2 linked regions of the Oryctolagus cuniculus genome follow. The protein of the gene in region 2 interacts with the protein of the main gene of each other region in a pairwise test. Links are inferred from orthologs where the notes say so. Each region holds a gene or a part of one and is shown on either strand. Other genes may lie near its edges.

Region 1 (3,475 bases), on a different chromosome or scaffold from region 2:
CTGCTGCTGCTTTCTCAGGTGCATTAGCAGGGAGCTAAAACCCTATCTTTAGCGGAAGCCTGCTCTTGCCCTCTAAATGGATATTTTGCAGCAAAGCAGAAACAACCTGTGTCAGGAAATCCCAAGAAAGTATTCAAAGTACTTGTGAATCCATTTAAATGTTTTTCTTTATTCAAAAGCAAAATGCCCATACCAGCTTTTAGTCCAGTCTGGCTCATGCTTTTTGGTGCAAGCTGCAGATGGACTATAGTGCTGATTGCTGGAAGCAGGTCTCGCACCTACTGTGTTCAGGCCCTGCTGGGTGGGACCCGAGGAGCCCCTCCTCGAGTGGGCAGAGCCTCAAGAGAGGAGGAGTCCCGGTTAGCACAGATTTTCCTCCTTTCTTGCCAAGTTCTTTTCCCTCTAAACAATTAAGCTGATTAAATTAGGGGCCAGCTGCAGAGAAGTTAAAATGAATAGCTTCAGTAATGCAAACCATCCTTTCGTTCACACCAGCTCCTCCATTTAAACCCTACCAGGAGCCTAAAATTTTGCAGCGGGGGCGCTAAGTCTGGAGGCATAAACCAGAGTTCATCAAGAACTAGTCTCTCTGCAAGGTGTAAAAGCACATGGCAACAGCCCCGGAATTCGGGCCTTAGGGAAGGAAGGCAGGTTAGCGTCTACCCGCAGGACTCCACAATCCATCATCCAGGTGGTCCAGGCCTGGTCAAACATGCAAGGACCCCACAACAGCTAAGGCAGGCCCAAGGACTAGGAAATGGAGGCCTTCCGCGCGCTCCTGCTGGGAAACAGGCTCGGTGAAACTACCCCAATAGAAGACGAACGAAAGAGACACACCAGACCACGGGAGCTGCCAAACTCTATTTCATTCACAGAGTGGGGAGCAGGTTCTCGCCGCCCCACGCCCCACCCGCCACGCCCTGGGACCGCAGCCCCGCCGCTCAGCCGGTGATGCGCACATCGGCGCGACGACGCAGCCGCCGGGCCCGCGCCGCCTCGGGCAGGATGGCGAGCAGCTGCTCCTGCACCAGCATCTGCACTATCTGCTCCTTGGTGCGGATGTCGGGCCGCAGCCACTGGCGGGACAGCTCCCGCAGCTGGCGGAACGCCTCGCGGGGCCCCGCCGCGTCCTGGTAGCGGAACTGCCGGAAGCGCTGGCGGAACGTCTCGGGCCCGGGCCGGGAGCCGCCGGGGCCCGGCGGGGAGCGCGGAGCGGCCTCGGCCTGAGGCGCAGAGCCCAGGGGCAGCTCCAGGGCCGCGGGGGGCGGAGGACTCGCTTCCTTGACGGCGGGCTCCAGGGAAGGCGGTGAGGCCTCTAGAATGGAGGGGCCCGCGGAGTTACGCTCGGGGTCTGAGCTCGGGCCCGCTTCCTCCTCGCGTTTCTCCAGCGACGCCGCTGAGGGACTCCGGGCGGCCCCCAAGCTCGGCTCGGTCTCCGCCATAGCTCCGGGCGTCACTCTTTTGTCCAGCAGCCGTGGGCTCAGCACTGCGTCTGCGCGGGGGCGGGGTGAGGAGGGAGAGAGACGCGTCCCGCTGAAGGGCGACCGAAGAGGGAGGCGACTCGGGACGGGTGACGAGGGCGCGGAACTTACCTGCCCGCGGAGCTCCAGGCGCAGCCGGAAGCGGAAGCCTCGCGAGGCTCCTCTGTGATTCCGCGGTCGCGCGAGCGCCCGGAAGCCGAGGCCGAGCTTCCGGAAGCAGCGCCGCGCCGCGCCGCGGTCGCGAGGCCCTGGAGGAAGCGACGCGCTGGAGGAGCCGTGAGGTACTTTTAAAGGAGAGGGACCCGGGCTGCGGCCCCGGCAGCGCCTGGGCTGGCGGTGGGCGCGAGGATGCGGTCGGCCAGGCGAGGTGGTCTCGCGTCGGCGGCACCCGCCCTTAGTGCGACGGTGACAAAACCCGACCCGGTGAATGCTCTGCCGTCTTTTATTTTTTTGTGTGTCTTCTGAAGCCAAGCGACAGGCGGCTCTGAGGGTTTAAGCGTTGCGGGCTGGCAGTGCGTGGCCCGCGCGGTGGCCGCCAGTCACAGGTGTCACCTGGGCCCGTGAGGTGAAGCCGGTCCGCCTGGAGACGTGCTCCTTCGTAGGGACAAAATGCAAAACGCCCCAATAATCGTTTATACTGTGTACATGTTGGAATGTAACGGTTTGCCTATATGGGCTCAAATAAAATATGTTATTAAACTTAAATTCATCCGTGTCTTTTTACTTTTTAAGTGCGGCTATTGGGAAAATTTACATTTATATTTCTGCCGAACAGCACCGGGCTGGAGAGTGGGGGTCAGAGTGCCTTGGTGGAATCCCCTTTGCAAGGTTTATTATCTGGCAGTAATGGTGCCTACCCAGAGCTGTTGCGAGGATTGAATGTGGGAAGCCCCTGGGAAGAAAGGACTTTAAAATACTATTCTCATTGAGCAAGGTGTTCCTGTCTCTGAGCTACAGTTTCCTGTAAAACGTGGATGCACTAGCACCTACCTCATAGAGGTTATTGTGAGAATCCAGTAAGATTAATGTGTGTAAAAGTACGGAACTCGCAGCCCTTCTATGAATGGATCATGTGGGTCCACAGGCGACTCACAAATAGGCATTGTATCCCTGTTGTACGGAAAGGGAAACAGGCCCAGAGAGGGGCAGAGACCCTCGTTTGCCCCTTGGGTCCTTTTCAGCCCCATGCAGGAAGGGTGAGCGTATTCAACAACCGTCCACACACCAGTGGCCCTGGGATCAATAGGAAACCTGCCCTCTTGCAGGGTGACCTTGGATGGGAAGATGGAGATGGTCAGGGAACAAGTTCCAGAGCCTGAAAACCTTGGAAGCCATCACGTGGGTCTTTAATGGTTTTTTAGTTGTTGATACGTAAAAATTGGTAAATTTCATATGCAAATCTGGTTTTCCAGCTTTTCTTGAAAAAAAGTGAAAGAATTGGACTCATTCCCAGCAGAAGCTGAGTAAACTTCCTTTGACCCAGATGCTCTGTCTTGCCTGGTCCCGGTTCTTGCTGCTGCTCCCTAGTCTCTGAAACAATGTTTGCATTTACTCTTGCTCTCAGGCTGGTCTCCCCAGAGCTGGGGAAATGAAACTCCAGGTGGAGCTGGTGTGTGTTACACCTGCTTGCTTCACAGCTTCTCCTGACTGGCCCCTGACAGTTGGGTTTGCTTTCCCCAGTGAACCACGGTCCTATGCCCTGTGTGGGAACAAATAATCCAGCGTTGAGGGAGCATACAAACCCTGCTGCAAAGACAAGGAGCCGTGAAAGGCTTCCCAGGAGGGGGCCTTCAAGCTGAGCCTCAAGAAGAAAGGGTGGAGTTGGGGGGCAGTCCAGGCACTGCCTGCACCAGGGCACATAGAGAGGTAGAGACAGATGCCCTCATTCCTCATCAGAATTCCTAGGTTCAGTACCCAGCTCTGGCTTCCAACTCCAGCTTCCTGGTAATGTGCACCCTGGGAGGCGGGCTCAATAGCTCAAGTAACTGGGTGTC
Region 2 (4,010 bases):
AAGAGCAAAGAACCAGTTAGGAGGAGGGCTGCTACTGAGGTTTCCACAAGCCTGGGCACTCTGCTCACCTGGAACCTGGATGGGTTTAGCTCAGGCACTGCTGTCTTGTCTCTGGAGCTTTCTTCCTGGAGAATGGCTGGTCCCTGAGGAGCAAACCCTGGAGAGCAAGGAGACAAGAGTCCTAAGTGAGACAAGATGACCTTTAGGAGTACCCTTTGTTGCCCACCCCGAGTCTCACATTTGCTAAATATCCAAACTGAGATGTGGACCTTACTGTCTCAAATAGAGCACCGCAGCTATTTTCACTGTGTCAGGGGCCTGAAATTCTACAACTTTATAAAGTCCCACCCACAAAACGGAGTGGAGTTTATAAACTCGTAGTAAGTGGATGCATTTTCACATACATAAAGAGAAACTAAACAATCAAGATTAAATAAAGAGGGGAAGAAAGGTAAAAAAGCTAAGAGCAAGCAGATAACACAGAATGGAAAGACAGGGAGCAGAGACAAGGCAAAGCAGATGTAGGACGTCTGGGAGCAGCAGCCAATCTACTGAGAGCAATTCCCACAGAGGGGTGTGACCAAGAGCCACAGCCTCTGCCCGACTCTACTAACAGCTGGGGAAATGAGTGCTTCCTGTGGAGTAGTACAGTATAACACAATATCCATTCCAGCCTATGCTTGAGCCACTCTGTTTTTTGGTAGAGTATAATTAGAACTGTAGAATAGAGACATGTGGTAGAGAAAGTTTTGGTCAAATGTTAGGAGATTAAAATTCAAGAGGTAGATTTGGCTCTGTTGACACCAGACAAGTCATTTAAATTCTCTTCTGTACAGTTTTCACAACTACTAATTTCTTTTCTTTTTTGGACAGGCAGAGTGGACAGTGAGAGAGAGAGAGAGAGAGACAAAGAGCAAGGTCTTCCTTTGCTGTTGGTTCACCCTCCAATGGCCGCCACGGCCGGCGCGCTGCGGCCAGCGCACCGCGCTGATCCAATGGCAGGAGCCAGGTACTTCTCCTGGTCTCCCATGGGGTGCAGGGCCCAAGCACTTGGGCCATCCTCCACTGCACTCCCTGGCCACAGCAGAGAGCTGGCCTGGAAGAGGGGCAACCGGGAAAGAATCCGGCGCCCCGACTGGGACTAGAACCCGGTGTGCCGGCGCCGCTAGGCGGAGGATTAGCCTAGTGAGCCACGGTGCTGGCACAACTATTAATTGACGGTATGAATAAGACCTTAGAAGTCTAACATTTTACAATTCCCAGATTTTAAAAGCCTGCTTAGATATAGGATGAGACAGAAAACAGAATGATGTTGGTCAAAGGGTACAAAATTGTAGTAAGTTCTGCAGATGTAACACATAATATGGTTATAGCAAATAACAACATATTGCATATTTGAAATTTGCTGGGAGGTCTTATGTAATATTCTTACACACACTCATGAGGTTAACTGTGAGGTAACAGACAATGACAACTTCTGGTAATCATTTCACGATGCATATAAAAACAGAAACAAAAACTTGAAGATACACACAAGTTTCTACTAAGAAGACATGCAGCTATTGGTGGCTTGGTCCCTCTGTCCTCACTAAACTCACCCTCTGGCACTCACCACTCACTTCTTGGGGAAGCTGTGGAGGTTCACACTTCAGGGTGGTTACCTCAGGCAACAGCTGGAGACCCTGACACTCCAAAGAGGTTCCTTGATATTCTGTTACCACTAGGTGCATGTCTTGTCCCTGAATGTAGAAAGAGGCCTGGAGACAAACGATTCACCTTGAAAAAGCATCCTAAAGGGAACTGGACTAAACAGCAGATAGGGATTACCACAAACTCCATTTAATCCTCTAAAGACACTACAAGTGGGATACAGGCGTTAATTTATTCAGCAAATATGGCCTGTATACCCACAAAGAGCCAGGCCCTGTTCTATGTGCTGGGGATGCAGCAGCAAACATGGCAGGTAAGACAGACAAAGGATCCTTGCCCAGAAAAAGAGACACAAAAAACAGACGGATGATAAACCAGTGTGTGAATGGGTAAGTACACTGTCTCAAAAGGTCTCCCACAAATTACTTAGGGAAGATGGTAATTTTCTCATGGGGAAATCTGTCAGATTCCACTGTAAACTCACCAGTAGTGGGATAAACCATTATGTTTGCTTCCTGAAGTGCTAAACTAAGGAGAATACATCAGCTCTATGACATGCTAGCCAAAATGTACAGGCTAGAACTAATCATGAGAAAATATAAAACAAATCAAAAACTCCAATAAAACAGGAGTACATCTTTCAAAAACATCAATGTCATGACAGAGAAAGACTGAGCAAATTCATGCAACTAAATGCAACATGTAATGCTAGCTTATATGCTGGATCAATATAATTCATTCTACAAACAACACTACTGGGACAACACACTTGAAAAGAGTATGTGCAGGACAGGGGAACAAACACAGCATGAAACAAATGTTAACAACCGGTGAATCTGGGTGAGGAGTGAACGTTATTTGTATTGTTCTCCCAATGCTTCTATAGGTTATAAATTATTTCTAAATAAAAAGTTAAAAATGAACAGACACACGTTTCCACTTCTTCTTCCACACCATCTCACACACTCCCTTCCCACCTGCTGTCCTGCGTCTGCACGTCCTGTCGCAAGACTCTCCAGCACGGTCACTGCCTCCTCCCCACTCTGCAGAGGATACATCTGCATCCAGGCCCGCAGCTCCTCTGGCAGGATGGTCAGGAACTGCTCCAGCACCAGCAGCTCCAGGATCTGCTCTTTCGTGTGCATCTCTGGTCTCAACCACTGACGGCAAAGTTCTCGGAGCTGTGCCATAGCTTCTCGGGGACCAGGTGCCTCCTGGTAGCAGAACTGCCGGAAACGCAGGCGGCAAAGCTCCTGAGTGTGGGGGCTGCCCTCTTGGGAGCTGTACCCCTGCTCCCAGGTGGGGTCTTCCACCTTCACTTTCACAAGGCCGTCTTCATTTTCAGGAGCAGAGCCTGGCAAAGCTTCATACATGTTGAGTTTAGAGGCTAGAAAAAGGTTCACTTATCTAAGGTCTATGCTTCCAGAAGTGTTTTCCCAAATACACATCTAAGGCATAGGAACTGATCAATAACATGTACATTACAAAAGCTTCAAAGCTGTGCAACTTAACTTATATCTTTGTCTCCACTGTAGGACGCACTCAAAAGCTGAGACTGCTTGCCTCTACTATTGGAGAAGCGAACCCTAAGTATTTCTTGAACACTAAGGGGTTGAACCCAGAGAAAAGGGATACAGAATGAGGGAAGAAGGGTTAACAAGAATGCTTGAGCCCCTTACACTTCAGCAGAGGAAAGGGGTCACTTTACTGGGGAAGACCTACATAGGTGTCTTTGTAGATGGATAATACAGTCCTGAAGTTCACTTATCTCTGCATATTGAGTATTTTAGTTTAAATGTTAGTGTGGTAGACTCTAAGTCTCCTATCCCCAAACACCTTTTGCAATCAGTTTTCCACTCACTCCTCCAGTAGGAGGCAGTCTATTTCTCCTTCCCTGATGTGTTTTAACCGATGAAGAATGGTAGAAATGACACTGAAAGAGAGAAAATGCCCCTATAGCTCTTGGCACACTGCCATGCTGTGAGGAAGCCCAAGCTGGCCATATAGAGAGTTCATGTGGATCAAAACCAAGGCTTCCAAGCTAAAGCCCACCTAGGCCTAGTGCCCAGATGATTCACCAGCTGAATGCAGCTATATGAGGATACTTCAAAAAGTTAATGGAAAAATGAAATTAAAAGACAAGAGACCAGCATTGTGGCACAGCAGGGAAAGCCACCACCTACAATGCCAGCATCCCTTATGGGTGGGGGTTTGTGTCCCAACTGTTCCACTTCCAATCCAGCTCCCTGCTAATGGCCTGGGAAAGGCAGCAGAGAATGGCCCAAGTGTTTGGGACCTGTCACCCACATGGGAGACCCAGATGAAGCTCCTGACTCCTGGCGTTGGCTTGGCCAGCCTGG

Evidence for each region.
Region 1: the proteins of PGBD1 (region 2) and SCAND1 interact in binary tests that used the Homo sapiens proteins (3 or more experiments, as listed by UniProt). The two-hybrid records come from large-scale screens. The link is inferred for Oryctolagus cuniculus from reciprocal best matches to the Homo sapiens genes PGBD1 and SCAND1.

Annotation. Positions count from the first base shown.
Region 1 is NC_091442.1:22,296,121-22,299,595, reverse strand, and holds SCAND1 (SCAN domain-containing protein 1), read right to left. Parts: upstream 2,176-3,475; 5' UTR 1,443-2,175; coding exon 942-1,442; 3' UTR 843-941; downstream 1-842. UniProt on the Homo sapiens protein: May regulate transcriptional activity.
Region 2 is NC_091436.1:153,745,385-153,749,394, reverse strand, and holds part of PGBD1 (piggyBac transposable element-derived protein 1), read right to left. Parts: exon of another isoform or gene 3,038-4,010; 5' UTR 3,024-3,037; coding exon 2,628-3,023; intron 1,758-2,627; coding exon 1,613-1,757; intron 158-1,612; coding exon 69-157; intron 1-68.